Linked DNA regions of Kluyveromyces lactis. The protein of the gene in region 4 purifies or fractionates together with the protein of the main gene of each other region. This does not show direct contact. Links are inferred from orthologs where the notes say so. Each region holds a gene or a part of one and is shown on either strand. Other genes may lie near its edges.

Region 1 (2,690 bases), on a different chromosome or scaffold from region 4:
GGTTATACAGTCTCACTTGTCTTCGGTGCTATTTATGGTCTATGGACATTCGTCGTGTTGTACTTCTACAAGAGACAAGAACGTAGACATGCATTGGACAACGGTATCATCTTGTACAACTCCAAGATGAGTGAACCAATACCTAGTTTCGTTGAATCTGAATTAGTTAAAGAGGGAGAGTACTATTATTTAAAGAGCGAAACTAATGAACCTGAACGTGTATATAACTAATCTAAACGGAAGAGCACTAGTAACCACATACTTCATTCCTCTCCCTCGTATATAATAATAGATATTATTCTCTTCTAATATTCTAATCTACCAGTCCGATCTTCTGTAACTCTTCTTTCAAAGTACCATTCCTTTCAAATCTCGCTAACTCTGATTCAGTACCCCAAACCTTACCATCAACGTACAAAGTTGGCAAGTTTCTTGAGCCAGTGGCCTTTTGAAATGCATCTCTGATTTCATTCCATTCGGATCTACTGTTAGTCACTTCAGCAATATCATAATTGAAGATCTTGTCCGTAACGCCGAATTTCTTCCATATGGAATTGGAATATACACAATCAGGACACCATCCCGCACTCAATTGAACAAACTTGTGAGAAGAAACTACTTCACGGGCGATAGCAATATACTTAGACATCCTCTGTAAATTGACTAGTTCTTTCCTGATGATATGAGAATTACTTTACCGAGAATAAGCTACATTCTGTTCACATTTGGGGGATGACCCTCATCTTATATAACAGAAAGGTTGAAATCTTCAAGTTTCTTTTGAAAATCTGACCTTTAAATATTCATTAAGACCATCCACAGTTTTTCCGTGCTGAAACTCCGCCATTCCCACAGAAAAGACACCGTTGATGCCACTAAGAATTGAAATACGGTAGTATGTCTCTAACGCGTGCGAACAGTTGCATCTAGTAAAGGGTATAACATGATGTAGTTTCGTTCCCTGTATGTGGCATTTTACTCTGTTTGGGGTATTATACAGATTTGTTGTTACCCTGATTATGATCTTTATCAACGAGCATCGATTCTCAGTTTTCCAATTTGAAAAAGCTGTAAGCATCAAGCTACATACTCACATTAGGTAAGTTAATGCGATCTTTTATGGGTAAGAACCAGTTCATACGTTGTGATTAGAGCTGGAATCAAAGCCTCAATATATATAAGAACATATCATCGAAAAGAGTGGGGAAATGTCAACGGACAGAGCTTGTATGTTATGTGGACTGGTGCAATCGACTGCTGAATTCAATAGGAATGGGTGCCCGAACTGTCAATCGATCTTTGAAGAGGCAGGTGTTTCGGCTGTTGAATGTACTTCCCCATCTTTTGAAGGTTTGGTTGGTATGTGTAAACCTAGCAGGTCGTGGGTAGCGAGATGGATGAGTATTGACAGTTATATTCCAGGAATGTACGCTGTCAAAATTGATGGTCGTTTACCAATAGAGGTAACGGAACTTTTGCCTCACTATAAACCGAGAGATGGAAGTCAAGTTGATTAATTTTAAGCACTTGTTAAGCACTTGTCTGTTTTAGTTTTTTTATGTTGAAATCGTCATGGGGCCGTTTTGGTGCCCCCATTTATTAATTTCCTCTTGCATCCTATAAGGTGGCTCCCTTATTACATGTATATTTATCCTTCGAAATATATCAAATGTTCTGTACTATATCTATTAAACCAAAAAAAAAGTTGAATTGAAAAGCGCAATCGCTGTATCAATCTATCTATATCTATGTTACCGAATATCTAAAGGATCTGGCGTAAAATTGGTGGTTGTACCCCATGTCCACTATGATTTTTGATCATTTCAACATTTTTTGTCATTTCAAAGATCATCCATTAAACTACAATTTTCTATCAAATGCAGTACATCTTTGCTCGCCTTGAAAGGTGAAGTAAAGAGTCCAGATTGAGATTGGATCGGTATCTTGGGGGTTTTACATCAACTATGTTACTTCGAAGATTACCTGCCGTACATTTTGCGAAGGGTTCGAGACAATTTGGATCATTGCAAGCTATTGCTGATAGTTTTGTACAGTTACACGATGCCTCTGGAGTACCATGGTTAGTACTCATACCAACTGCCACTTTTGCATTGAGAACGGTGTTCACTTTACCACTAAGTATATGGCAAAGGAAACGTATAGTGAAGCAGCAAGAGCTTCGGAAAGTTGTGCAAAGTGTTCCCCCTGTGGTGAAGCTAAGATTGGCTTCGATGACTGCGAAGGCTAATGACGAAGAATTGACAAGTTCTGGTAGTGCAATACAAACTAAAGAGGAAACGGTCGGAGCGCTTCAAAGAGGAAAAAGGCAGTTAACGCCAGATCAAATAACGATGTTATCGTTGAAAGAAATGCGTAAGAGACAAAAAGTTTTATTCAAAAAATACAACGTACAGATGTGGAAGAATAGTGTTCTACCGTTAGTTCAAGTCCCTCTATGGGTGACTATGTCAATGGGGCTTAGGAAGCTTACTGATAGTAGGTTAGTGGACACAAATATGCCTCACGCACATGTATTACAAGATCTTTCAGAGACAAGTTGGTTAACTCATATAGGTTCTTTAGACCTAAGTTTGCCCTTGGACGCAGCACCAATGCTAATACCCATCATTTTAGGAACCGTTTCGATGATCAATGTTGAGTATAACGGTAAGACGATGCAAGCAACTGCA
Region 2 (4,498 bases), on a different chromosome or scaffold from region 4:
AACGGTTCACAACGTGTAACACCTCAGCCATCACCTACCATTGCAGAATATGAAGAATACCCATGGTTTTCCCCGTCACCAATTGCAAGGGATCAGCCAAGACCAGAGAAAAGAATACCCACACCAATATCTTCTTACACCACAGAAAAGGAAAGAAGAACGCATTTACAGTCTGAAATATACGACGTTGACATGAAACGAACCGTGAATCGACTCATCGACGAGGACTCTTTAAACGACGCATTCGCAGATCTAGTAATAGATCCACCAAGCTATGACACAACGGTCTCGAACGAAAAGCATGGCGAAATTGTAGAAGTTAATATGGCTTCTCCCAGAAAACAGCGCAATAATCAAAATCAAGAACTATTACGAAGGTTCACGTCCTACACTCCACACTACAACCAATGGTTCCAACTACAAGCGTGCCAGATCACCACAGAATCCGAAAACAAGGTGATCCATTCGATGAAGAGAGATTTAACGTACGCAGATCAAGATCCATGCAAAAAAGATAAATCCACATCAACGTTACTCATCTCGCTCAGATCAAGAGAGATCAAACAAGTCACTATCGTGAGAGACACAAATAACAGATTCATACAGAGAACAAAGAAGATATTGCAAAATGGGAAAGTGGGTCCCGTCTCGAGGGCAATGCTCTCAGGCATAGAAACGACAGACCAGCATTTAAAGAAACTCATGGAATGCAATAACGACAACGAGGCATTAGTTTCCCTCTTCAACGATATAGTAACGTGTGCCTCAACATAGGTTTAGAGAGTTTGGATCACGTGTCACGTCACTATATACGTTGTGATGAAAATCAAGCTTTCAAGGCTACCCAAAATTTTTGAGAAAGCTAATGGTTCGGGTCTCTGATGCCCTATAAAGCTTTATTCAGTTGGAAAATGTTGATTAATCACTAGGTTTATATGTATTAGATTGCTGTTTTTGGTTGTCAGATCTTTTGAGAATTGTTCAGTCGGGGGACTTAGGCTTTAGGCAGGGATAAAATCTACAGTGCTGTTTTGTTGTAGCATAGTATATAGAATTGGAAAAAAAAATTAAAGCATACTTGGGGAAGACAAGGAACGAAAGATAGAGAATAGAACATTGGTGTGATTATTTGATCTAATATAACATCTTCAGAAGGGCTATCACTCATATTAAGTTCTGTGTGATTATCAATTGTATTTTTTTGTTTGTTAATATTATGACGGAAAGCGGTAATGGAATTGTTAATACGAGGCAACCGAAGTTGTTTCTCGATGTTCCGGATATGACTTCTGAAGCAAAGAAAACGTACGCTGAGCTGGATGTATGTACGTATACGCCTAAAAACTTGGGTGATTCTAAGCATGAGTTTATGGAATGTGACTGTTTTGAGGAATTTCGGGACGGTTTAAACCATGCGTGCGGTGAGGATTCTGATTGTATAAATAGAGCCACTTTAATTGAGTGTGTGAACGGTCTTTGCAAACACTCGTGCGGTACTGACTGTCAGAACCAAAGATTCCAGAAGAAAGCGTATGCAGATATATCTGTTTTCAAGACGGAGCGGAAAGGTTTCGGCGTCCGTGCCAATTCTGATATTGAACCACACAACTTTATTTATGAATATATTGGAGAAGTAATACAGGAGGAAGAGTTTCGTAACCGGATGGTGAAATATGACCAAATGGGATTTAAGCACTTCTACTTTATGATGTTGCAGACCGGACAGTTCATTGATGCTACGCTAAAGGGGTGTATTGCCAGATTCTGCAACCATTCTTGTAATCCTAATGCATACGTTAATAAATGGGTAGTTAACGGGAAATTAAAGATGGGTATTTTTGCCAACAGACACATCAGCAAGGGAGAAGAAGTGACGTTTGATTACAACGTTGATAGGTACGGTGCCAATGCACAGCCATGTTACTGCGAGGAACCAAACTGTATTGGATTCCTTGGTGGTAAGACTCAAACTGACGCGGCATCGCTATTGCCTCAAAGTTTTGCAGATGCCTTAGGTATAAGGCCGTCCATGGAGAAAAAATGGATCAATATGATGAAGGCCAAGGGTGAGAAAATAGCTAAAAGTGACACCACAACGGTTAACGTCGACTTCGTTAATTCTTTATCACTAGAACCCTGTACGAAGACTGAAGATGTTAATCGTGTGATGAGTGTATTATTACAGATAGATGACGCCTTCATTGCAGAAAAGCTACTTGAAAGGATCACTTTGACTGAAGATGAAGCAATGCATTATCAGTTCATCAAATTGCATGGTTACTTGATCTTTAGTAGACTTATCACAATGTTTGAAGATAAGCCAGACATTATATGGAAGATTTTAAACTTCTTGTTAGTTTTACCCAAGACAACTAAAAATGGTATAATTCATTCTGGAATTGATAAGAAGGTCGAACAATTAAAGAATACTCCTAAATTTGAAGTGATATGTGAAGATCTATTAGAGAAATGGTCCAAATATGAAACTTACACCAGAATCTCCAAGAAAGATATTTCAGAAAATAGCAAAGTTATAGATTTACGGCGGATACGTTTACCTATCGGTTGGGAAATCATTCATGAGAATGGCAGACCAGTGTATTATAATGCTCAAAGGCAGATCAAACAAGCCAATCCTCCAACTGATTCTGCTTATAGATCGAACTCAAGCCATAACCTTTCTGGAGTTTCTGATCCTAAATCGAGATCAGCAACACCTTCTTCAAATACCAGTCGGTATAGTGGGTCTGTTAAGTACATACCCACGCCTACTTATGGCCAGATGCAGCAGAAAAGAACGCTATCTCCAGAAGAATACGAGAAAAGGAAAAAATCGAGAATCGAGTGGGAACAAAAGGAGTTAGAACTAAGGAAATTAATGGAGCAAGAGACTTTAAAAGCAAAATTGGATCAAGAAACCCAAAAGAAGAGCGAATTGGAGAGAATCATCGAGGAGGCCAATAAACAGAAAGAACTTGAAAGGCTTCAGAAATTGAAACAGCAACAAGAGGATGAAGAAAGGAAAAAAGTAAAGAAACAAGCTAGTCATGTCAATGCTATCGAAAATAAATGGGTCAAGTTCTTCGCTCAACATGTTCCAAACTTAATTAAAAATTACCAAAAGGACGTGGGCAAAGATGTTCTCAAGGAATCTGCTAGAAACATTGTCAAGTCTCTTGCCCAAAAGGAATTGAAGAAAGACAGTTCTAGATCACCACCTGAAGAACTCTCTAAAGAGAAAAGAGCTAAAGTTAAAACGTTTTCGATGCAGTATATGGATCGATTGGTTGCCAAGATGAAAGAAAAGAAAGAGAAGAAACGTTGATATCAAGTAACATTGCAAACACTTTTGTATCAATTCCATGTCATACGTTACATGATAGAAACTTTCAAAGGCCAAGAAGTCAGAAGAAAGGGGGGCAGTCCTCTCATAGCACAGGCTACCGTACCCCTTATGCGCATGTATATAGTTTGATTCGTCCCTGAAAGCGCCGTATGTTATCGAGTTTCTTGTCTTTGTAATTTCCATAATAGGAAGATTCTTTGACAATTATCAACTTGACACATGAAGGTTTAAAGAAAAAACATGGACGTCGAAAGAGAGTTATTTTACAACGCGCTGGAAACCCAAGTATATAAGCTGCCGGTAAGCCAATGTAATCTTGAGATGATTTCGTTAAGATATCACTATTTAAATGCATATCTAAACGTCTCTCTGCCGTGTTAAATTTAAATTTAGGCAGTAATAAAATTCATACTATTCGGACAATATGAGTACTTTTGGTTCGACTTTTTATGATTCTGTAGCAAAGAACTACATATGTGAATGTGGAAGTTGCAAGATAGGAAAAAATGTAGAATTTTACATGGTTCGTTTCTTCATCATGGGTTTTGTTTTACCCGTGCTATGGATCCTTAACTTAATGTTGTACCTTTATGCCAACTGGATAATCGACCACAATGTTAGGGTCCCGGAACTTGACTCTGAAACCTTATATACCGAATATGAATGCCAACAATGGAAACAGCGCAGTGTCACATCACTAAACAAAAGTATTACCAAGGACTTCTACGCTATTAACAACCCATTGACATTTTCCATGCTTACTTTAAAACTACCAGATCCCGTACCATTGACTACGTATCAACATCTCTCTTTGCCTGATCCAACGAAGGGCAGTGATGAAAAAAACCAGTTTTCGGAAAGCGCTACTACCCTGGACGAGGGTGCAACAGACTCCTCATCATTTGAGACGGAAGACGGTGGTACCAAATCCATAGTGACAGCTCAGTGTCTAAAAGAAATCGCTTCTGAACTAATGAAAAATCATGACGTTAATGCAAGAACTATCAGGAACTGGTTTCTGCGTAGCTTATGTGCAATGACAGGGTACACAATATCCATTATAATGATAGTAGTTATCGTTAAGACTAACAGCCAACCGGCATCGTACCGAGAATGAACATATGCATTACTCGTCCGCATTATACAAAAGAA
Region 3 (3,105 bases), on a different chromosome or scaffold from region 4:
CCAACGTACCCACTGATAATCTCCAGATTGAGCTTTGGAACACATTGAGACAAGCAGTACGACGTAACAGAAATCATAAAGCTGGCTGGTACGTACGTGGATTATTGGAGGATCTCTCTCATCTGAATAAGTATATTGTCGGCGATGATATAATCAAGCTAGTTGCTCTAAAGAACAAATACACAGAGCAGATCGAGCCTGCTCCAGAACCGTTGCAGCAAGCGAACAAACCAATTTCTGGTGTGGTGGTAACTGAAAATATGGGGGATGAGAGTCGAAGGGAAAAAAAGAAGCGATTAGCACCTATTCCTGGTGATGGTGATTTATACCGCTACCTTCTTAGATATTATAAAATATATGGTCCGACTAAAACGATACCTCGTAAACATATCGACGAGCTACTCAGACCTCTTGCAATCCACGAGAGATACTGTAAAATTTTGTACAGGATTGAGTACCGCATTGCCAAGGGCCCCCCTAAAGTTTCTATTAACTACACCAACGCTGGCCAATCCCGAATTTGGTTCATACGATCTCCATTCAATAGGAAGGCACGCCAGTCTAAGAAATTGACAGGAATCATAATTAAGGCACGGCTTAGAGCTCAAGATAATCTCGATAGATTTAGGGAGTGTGAATCCAAACTTTTCTATGCATTTCAAGAAGCACAATGGGAATATACATTGATTCACAAACAACCATGTTCACGAAAATTCAATGACGTCGTGACACAGATAAAGAGTGGTAAGTCCAATGACATCCCTGCAGTGTTCATCGACTGGATAAAACCAATCCTCGAAGATATGGACATTCTCAACCGGATAAATGCTAATACACAGCGTAAATTCACCGAAAGTAGAGATCACTTAATTGACGGAAAACAATATGAATATTATAAACAACTGAACCAAAGACTTTATAAAAAAAGGCTTGAACGATTCTTGGGCTTGAAAGCAGAGTTACCAACGACAAACCCATTTACCGAAGAGAAAAATTTAGGTGCTTTGCTTGTTAAATGGAGGTTCCTTAGACCAGATCAATTAGTGAAAGTTAAATCGTAAATAAAACTATTTTATGTATGACTATATAATGCAGGATTGTCCATATATTTTGAGTTATAGAGTCAAAATGCTCTACCTCAAATATGTTTGTACTTGTCATCATTCTGTCATTTCATCTATCTCGTCCTAAATCTCCAATGATATTTGGCTCGTTGATCTCTACGATCTTAATATCAGCTAACATGTCACTGATATCCCTTTCCATTTCCTCTCTACTATCATCGTCCGCGAGTTTCAAATCAGTCATACCACGAATCATCTGCTTAACATCAGACTCTCTAGCTAGTACTTCTTCGAGCAATTGTATCTCACTAGGTGGCTCATAATCGTCAAGATGTACACCGACCCTAGCAAACAAAGCCTCGTCTGAGAGCTGAAACTGGTAAAACTGTGAACATCTAAAATGAGCCTTAGTACAGTATTCTGTAAGGTATGCATATGGGTTATTTTGTCTTAAGAAATTGGTCATCTGTACATCTGCGAAGGGATCACGTACTCTCGCCTGGCTTTTGCTACAGAGTGGATATCCACAACGCTTCACCAAGTTCCTTTCTTGGACTAGATCCGCATAATCCTGTTTGGTAAGGAACCTTGAAATGTATTTCATCGTCCTTGCATCTTTCACGTCTTTTGTAATCAATAAGTCTATTAAATTGATACTTATAGTTTCCACTTCCCTTATGGTCAATTGTCGATGGTTTGTATAGGGTTTTAATACAACCTCTTTGATTTCTTCAATGGTAGCCATTGCTATAGTCTAATTATTTTGGTAAATTATTTCACGGTCGTAGTTGGTCAAGCAGCTGTATGAGGTCCCTTATTCATGTGCTTTTCTTAAGTTTACCTTCTTTACTTTGGCACTATCAACCCTTCGATGTGATTTAAGCAAGGACTTTATTTTAATTCAATGTAGATCGAATTCGAGCAGACAACAACAACAGAAGAAAGAAATATCCATGACGAAGTAAGGTCCTTAGCACTAACCGGTCAGTTGTGCCTCAACAAATGAGTTCACAGGATTCTGAAGCCCACCTCAAAAGGCGAAAGGCGAGGTCTAAGGAAAGCAGTTCTGGTGCTGGGAGAAGGGTATCGGTTGAACAAGACGTGAATACGGTGTCATCATCGATAAAGAACTTTATATACCAGGAGATTCTTCCCCAAACAGCCAAGGTATTCGAAGAGGAACCATGTGATCAGAGTGAGAAGTCTGTTGAATATGATCTGGAGCAGATTGCGAACATACTGAGGGTACCATTCCAAGTCGAGCAATTCTTTGTCTTTGCGATATTGACTTGTTTGAACTGCTTCTTGTATTACTTTACCATTATACCACTTAGGGTATTCCATGTATTAGTGGTGAAACGAGATGGTCCTAAAAGAATACGACAAGAGCTTCTTACTACTGCGATGATTCTTGGACCCTGTTCGATATTGAATGTCCTTGACACCTCAAGAATATATCATAAAATTAAGGGCCAAAATGCTATTAAACTATACATGATATTTCAGGTTCTTGAGATGACAGAAAAGCTCTTATCAAGTGTTGGCCTTGATCTATATTCAATTATCATGCTCAAGAAGAGTGCCAAACATAAGACAGAGATGGTAATGCTATATATTGCATGTTGTTTATGTTTAAGTTTCCACGCGTTGATATACATCTACCAGATTCTTGCCATGAACGTTGCGGTAAACTCGTATTCTAACTCCTTATGGACGCTACTGTTGTCAATGCAGTTTTCAGAGTTAAAATCTGCAGTTTTCAAGAGAATTGATAAAGAAGGATTGTTCCAATTGACTATGGCTGACGTCGTGGAAAGATTCCAGTTGATCGTATTTCTAACGGTCATTGCAGTGAGAAACTTTATCGTAGCAAGAAAGAGCTTGCGCGATGTTTTACCACACTCATGGAATGTTCATTCTACACAGTCCTTGATAGTTGGTATATTTATAGGGCCGATTGTCACAGTAATTGGAAGTGAATTGATAGTGGATTGGATCAAGCACGCATATATTATCAAATTCAACAGAATCAGAGCGCATA
Region 4 (6,046 bases):
GCATGTTATACGCAAGTTTCTAAAACGTCATTTTTTCCAGTATCATATGCCCAGCTTAGTATATAGGTTTCCCGAAGAAATGAAACGTACAGCAGACCATAATTACTGAAACTACAATGGCCAGCAGGTTTCTCACAACAAGGTCCATTTCAAAATATGTTAACTTATATAAATTATTGTTCGATAACATTTTGTTACATAACTATATCCCGTAATATTTCCTTTCCGGCACCGGTTCTGTTAAATTCGGACTTCAAGCAACAACAAAGGCTAATAAGCAAGCCACAGAATCCGCTGATAATTGAGCTGAATATCGTTTATTAAGTGCATTGACAATAATTCAAAAAATGACGAATGATACGTTACCGATCATAAAAGAGGCTCATCACCCATATTTTGATGTGGACATCTCCCATGGCCAAACTGAGAATGATATGTCCACATATTCCAAATTCCTATGTTTGTATACAAGAAACTTGTATTCATATGAACTATATTGCATCCAGGACAAACAGAATTGCCAATTTACCGAAAACTGGGAGGAATTGAGCAATATTTTGAAGCAAAAGACCGGAAAAATCAATGAGCATGGTGTGACGGAAGTCGAGATAACTGCAGAAGAATCCCACAGAATGACCCCATTCCATAACGTTGCAATTAAGGTATCTGAATATCAGATTGGTGATGAGAATCAAATCAGGGGTGTAATTACCACTGTTGAAAATGAGAACTCGTTTAATACCTGGTTCATTTATCACATTCTATGCAAAATTCATGTTGGATATAGCTCTGAACCTAGCGTGCAATCTGAGGTCGACTATGCAGAGCTTTTCACCCAGTACTTCGAAAGAAATTTGAAGAATACAATTCAGGGCGATGAATGGATTACAATGAATGGTAGACAATATTTTAAGGAAAGAGTTTGCTATTTCACATCCAGACATAAAAGAATCGAATGTATTTTGCCAGCGTTCCCTTGTAAATCCTCAAATTTGAAAAAGGTCCATGGTGACGTCCCAGATAAAGGAGAAGAGTTAGCCTTTGTGAATCTCATCAATGCAACCAAGGAAATTTCTAAATTCTATCCTCCTGGGATGAAATTATGGATTGTTAGCGATGGGCACGTCTTCAGTGATTGCATTGGCGTAGATGATGATGTGGTCGATTCATATACAGCTCATTTGCATGGTCTTTATAGATCATTAGCAGAACCAGGTACTGACGCTATAGGATTTGCTGGTTTGAAAGATCTTTTCTTTGAAGGTGAGAGTAGTGAATCATTTGATCCCAGATGGGTTGAGGAAATTGAACTACCACATTACACTGGCACTAAGATCTGTCCTGACTCTGAGTTATCAAGAAAGATATTGATGAAGGGATGTGACACTGAAAACGGGAGATTGAAGAAACAATTAAACATTCCAGATCATCCAAGATTGCATTTGTTTCGAGGATTTTCGAAGTTTATGACTGAAGACTTATGTCTATTACCATTTTTTCAAGGCATATCGAGGAAAGGCTTCAAAAAGGTCGTTGCTAAAGTTGCCTTTGAAATGATCAAACGAAACGACGCTTATTCGAACTTAGTAGAATTAGTTTTTCCTCATCATATGAGATTATCGATTCACGCACATACCAATAGCGGACCAAAATTCGGAATTAAAATCATTTCACCTTTACAATGTAAAACAATTAGGTCTTTAGACAACGAAGAGGAACCAACTTTCGAAGATTTGTTGCATATTCCTACACCATGGCACAATTGTGTTGTCAAAATTGAAGAAAATGAGCGCTTCTATTTGACTAAAACCAAAACTGTGATGGATGCAATTGAAAACGGTAATTATGAAGGAACATGGGTAAAAACAGATGTGGAAACTGGAGTTGGTGGCCATTATTTGCTCAGAAGGGTTCGTAAGATTAATAAGATCAATTAAATGACTCCTCAATTTCTTTTTATTTTTTTTTCCAGCCTGCAAGAGCTCCACACAACAACTAATGATACCATGAATTAACCAACTTTTCAATTTTTACTCATAATTCTATCCTAAACTCTTTCGTCCCAAAAACCCACTGAAGAATCGGTGAAGCTAACCATCGGATTGTGTTTTCTTAATTTTGAGATAGCGCCTTTGAATCAAATGCAATTCAACGAGGGATTCTTGTTATTATTTTTATTTTATTTTATTTTATTTGTGATATCTTTAAGATAGAATCATTGACACAAATCGTCATATGTCAATTGATTCATGTGAAAGTTCTCAACAATGTATATGCTTTTAACAGATATTTTTGTAACAGTTTGTGCTTGGTACAATCAAAAAATTAATGTGACGCTATTATTAATTGCTGAGAAAAAGAAAGTACATTGACCATGCTGCTTGTTAAATTAGTTTGTTCTTTTATATTATACAAAATGCTCACAAATGAAGCAGATAACAATGATGACCGGAATTTGGAAATTTATGTCCAAAGCTATATATAGTCATAGTTGCGATTAGGTGAAAAATGTGAAAGGTTCTAGGAAAGAAATATCATATCACCCCCAAATAATCTTCCTTGATACTGCCAATGGCGTAAATAGAGTTGACTTCCGATCTTGCACCGACGATTTTTAATCTTACTCTAGATCCTTTAGTAATAATTTGTTCTGATGATTGATATGATGGAGGATTGGAACCACTGTTGAAAGTCAAATCTTCTGGCATCAAAAAAGGGGAAACGAAGACAGACAAAGGTCCAACTTCCACTTCAAAACCTAAGTTTGTACAACTAGATACGATACCATCAAGAACTTCTCCCTTGAAAGGTTTCCATACCACAGCTCTATATTTAACAGTAAACTCTGCTGACCCGTCCGTAGGCAAAATCCGTCCACGTTCAATCTCGATATTTTCACAGTCTAAAACACATAGGATATATCCGAATTTACCGGTACATGTTCCTTCCACCTCTTGTAGTAGCTTTGTCATCAAATATCTCTTCATCTGAGGTCCAAAGAATGATGGATGAAGCGTTATATTCAACGACAAATCTTTGAAGAAAAACATGGCTCTGTAGTTTATTTCGCTTCTATAAAAAAGATACTGGTCCTTCAGGCAATAAGATCAAGTTAAAGTATAGTTACAATCAAACTGAAAGTCCAATTCGAATATGAATAGTTCCTTTTTAAAAAGCTTGCCAATAGATTCACCGTATCAACGGCTGTTACAATTGAATAAACGAATGAAAAACAACCCGCACTTAGTTCAACCTGCAAACAATTAAAGGCGAGTACCTTATATCGACCTTAAATAACAATCCAAGGATCCTAAAAACCGATTGTGCTAAAAGCAGTCTTGCTTCATTTGCAAATATTGAAGTTGTTCATTTTGCAATTGGATGTTTCTTTCAATATTTTTCATTTCGTCAAACATCGCCCAAAAACATTCAAAAACTATCCGGGTAATAGTATAGCCTCTGATGAGATCGCTATTACCATTTAAACAGTTTTAGGCAAAAAGCTAGAGATGAATACAGCTGTGAAGTATGTTTTTGGATGAGGACGTCTCATCAGAGTAATACTTGGGAGTTTGTCAGCTGTTGTCAAGAGAACTATAGAGCAACATGATCACGAAATATTTTACTAAGGCAGTTGTGAAATTCAATCCATTAGGAAAGGAAGGTATGTCTTCAAAGAAAGAGAAATCATTAGTTGGACATCATTTAAAACTACCGAACACCATTACTAACATAATATGATTTACGGTTGTTTTACTATTAAAACATCAATCGTCTCATTTATCTTCATCTACAGCCAAGACAGCTAGGTTGTTCTTAAGTGCTATTCCTCCTTCACAAAGAACAAGTGGATTACAATTGCAAAACGAAGTTTTGGTTTCTGGCTCTAATAAGAAACCTACAGTGAAAGTTACTTTCAAAGATAAAACTGAATTGGAAGCTGATCCAAGCAGTATGAACTTCATGGAACTAGGGAACTACTTTGATCGTCATTCAAGAAAATTGGCCCTAAAGGAAAGTATTGAATCTCAATGATTTCTTGTGACGAGATACCCATCACAAAATTCATGTATATATAACAATAAGTAAAAGAAATTTAATGTAGTATAAGATATAAAACACTACAATGCTTCAGTGGATTAAATTGAGTCAACGCTGTTGGTATGATCACAGACCTTATTATTTGAAGCTCCCTTCCTGTCCATTATTCATTTACATCGCCTGAATAGGAATTTCAAGTTTCTTCCAGATATTGAAAATTTTATACGGTGCCAATGCAGAAGCGATGAGCTAAACTTAAAATCAAGAAGAACTTCTATGTAGAAGCGACTGATAACTAACCTGTAAGCAGCCACGGCCACAAAAACTACCAGTAATATACAAATGTCATTTTACTTCAAGAATATCAAGCCAGATCTTCATTCAGGAAACGAAGATGAGGAAGATGACATAGCATCAATCATAAGAATAAACGATACAAGTGATGCAGAAGGTTCACAAAGCGAAGATGAGCTAAAGACACTCTCATTTGGATCTTTGAAGAAAGCTGATGAAATGATGGACAATGAGGAACAAACCAGCAGAAAAAGCAAAAGCAAAGCGAATGGTGAGAAGAAACATTTGAATAAGCCAAAATCAAGAGAGTTGACTGAGAAACAAAGGAAACTTGATGATGGACAGAGACGTCAGAGCGGATTACAGGAAGAAGAAGCACAACAAAAGTCACAGTCTATCAAAATGTTTGCAGAAGAATCTTTCGGAGAAGAAAGTGATTCTGATAGTGATGGCGGCTTTTTCGATGAAGAATCAAACGATGAGGCTAATCAGAATGGTAAAAAGAAGAAAGGTAAAAGAAAGCACGCACCAACCGAATCATCGTCAAAGAAGAAAGTGCGCTCCATGAGAAAGATTCCTGGGTTAGAAGATAATAAGAGTAAATCCATCTATCAAGATGTCAGGTTTGATAAAGCCATGGGAAAGTCAGAAGACTTGGCAAAAATCCGTCAACGATACAAGTTCTTGGATGAGTACAGAGAAAAAGAGATCAACGAATTGGATAGCATGCTCCATGATAGAAAATTCCTAAGTAAAATCAGCGACAGAGAGAAGAGTGAAATGGAGCAGCAGGTGAGAAGGATGAAATCAAGATTAGAAACGGTGCAAGTCATGGAAATGGAACAAAAGATTGTAAAGGATTATGAAGCAGAAATCAACAAGAATAACAAGAATAAATACCATTTGAAGGATTCAGAGAAGCGGAAGGTAATACAAAAGTGGAAGTTCGAGCACATGAAGGGTAAACAAAGAGAAAAGGTAATGGATAGAAAGAGAAAGAAGAGATTAGGTAAAGAATTTAAGCAATTCGAATTTCATAAGAGGTAAAGTATGCGATCGGATCAATTGCATTCTACTCATTAATTTCAAAGAGATATTGCCTTTATTGAAACGGATGTTTCATTATGTGTACATAAAGTATAGATGTCAGGTTTTCAAATTTAGGCCACTCTATATAGTTGATTTAACGGGAATAATTTAGATAGAACCCAAATCTAGGACCATAGATTTGACAATCGAGTCTGAAAGGGACAGAACAGTCGTGATTTCAAATAAATTTATACCACATCAGCTAAGTAAAGTAACTGGATCACTCGGGAAAATGAAAGCCTACTCTTTATCCAGTTATTTTTTGGAAGAAGATGCAAACAAATCATATCACTCTCATTATGGATACAACAAAAAAAAATAAAATGAACAAGACATTACAAATCATTTCTTTGGTTGGGTCCTCTGCAGCCATTCATTGATCGAACCAGGCCATACTCCAGTCTTCTCATAACCATAAGATCTAGCTAGTTCTTCAGCTGCTTGAGCTCTAATCCCGGCAGCGCAAAAGAAAATCAACTCCTTATCCGCAGAAGGCTTTGGGATATGGAAAACCTTCTGAAATTCCTCATTGTCCAAACTCAACGCACCTGGTGCAGTCTTTAGAGGTAAATTGATAGCTGTAGGTAATGCAAATTCTTTCACTTCACTAGGTTCTCTCACA

The links. The genes of interacting proteins can lie anywhere in the genome.
Region 1: the proteins of RPB7 (region 4) and SPT4 purify together in Saccharomyces cerevisiae (affinity purification with mass spectrometry; 4 studies listed by BioGRID, with this or other methods). This does not show direct contact. The link is inferred for Kluyveromyces lactis from reciprocal best matches to the Saccharomyces cerevisiae genes RPB7 and SPT4.
Region 2: the proteins of RPB7 (region 4) and SET2 purify together in Saccharomyces cerevisiae (affinity purification with mass spectrometry; 3 studies listed by BioGRID, with this or other methods). This does not show direct contact. The link is inferred for Kluyveromyces lactis from reciprocal best matches to the Saccharomyces cerevisiae genes RPB7 and SET2.
Region 3: the proteins of RPB7 (region 4) and RTR1 purify together in Saccharomyces cerevisiae (affinity purification with mass spectrometry; 5 studies listed by BioGRID, with this or other methods). This does not show direct contact. The link is inferred for Kluyveromyces lactis from reciprocal best matches to the Saccharomyces cerevisiae genes RPB7 and RTR1.

Annotation. Positions count from the first base shown.
Region 1 is NC_006038.1:705,348-708,037, forward strand, and holds SPT4 (transcription elongation factor SPT4), read left to right. Parts: upstream 1-1,208; coding exon 1,209-1,517; downstream 1,518-2,690. Other genes in the region: VHT1 (Vht1p), read left to right, coding at 1-231; glutathione-disulfide reductase GRX8, read right to left, coding at 314-649; membrane insertase COX18, read left to right, coding at 1,965-2,690.
Region 2 is NC_006037.1:594,837-599,334, reverse strand, and holds SET2 (histone methyltransferase SET2), read left to right. Parts: upstream 1-1,216; coding exon 1,217-3,325; downstream 3,326-4,498. Other genes in the region: LST4 (Lst4p), read left to right, coding at 1-774; ASG7 (Asg7p), read left to right, coding at 3,771-4,463. UniProt on the Saccharomyces cerevisiae protein: Histone methyltransferase that trimethylates histone H3 'Lys-36' forming H3K36me3. Involved in transcription elongation as well as in transcription repression.
Region 3 is NC_006042.1:1,172,768-1,175,872, reverse strand, and holds RTR1 (RNA polymerase II subunit B1 CTD phosphatase RTR1), read right to left. Parts: upstream 1,810-3,105; coding exon 1,174-1,809; downstream 1-1,173. Other genes in the region: RRG1 (Rrg1p), read left to right, coding at 1-1,061; EMP65 (Emp65p), read left to right, coding at 2,067-3,105. UniProt on the Saccharomyces cerevisiae protein: RNA polymerase II subunit B1 C-terminal domain (CTD) phosphatase that dephosphorylates 'Ser-5' of the CTD and regulates RNA polymerase II during the transition from 'Ser-5' to 'Ser-2' phosphorylation.
Region 4 is NC_006039.1:592,646-598,691, forward strand, and holds RPB7 (DNA-directed RNA polymerase II subunit RPB7), read right to left. Parts: upstream 3,051-6,046; coding exon 2,535-3,050; downstream 1-2,534. Other genes in the region: DIT1 (Dit1p), read left to right, coding at 348-1,937; MRPL44 (mitochondrial 54S ribosomal protein mL53), read left to right, coding at 3,607-3,664, 3,797-4,035; rRNA-processing protein RRP36, read left to right, coding at 4,384-5,382; KLLA0_C06864g (rhodanese-like domain-containing protein), read right to left, coding at 5,767-6,046. UniProt on the Saccharomyces cerevisiae protein: DNA-dependent RNA polymerase catalyzes the transcription of DNA into RNA using the four ribonucleoside triphosphates as substrates. Component of RNA polymerase II which synthesizes mRNA precursors and many functional non-coding RNAs.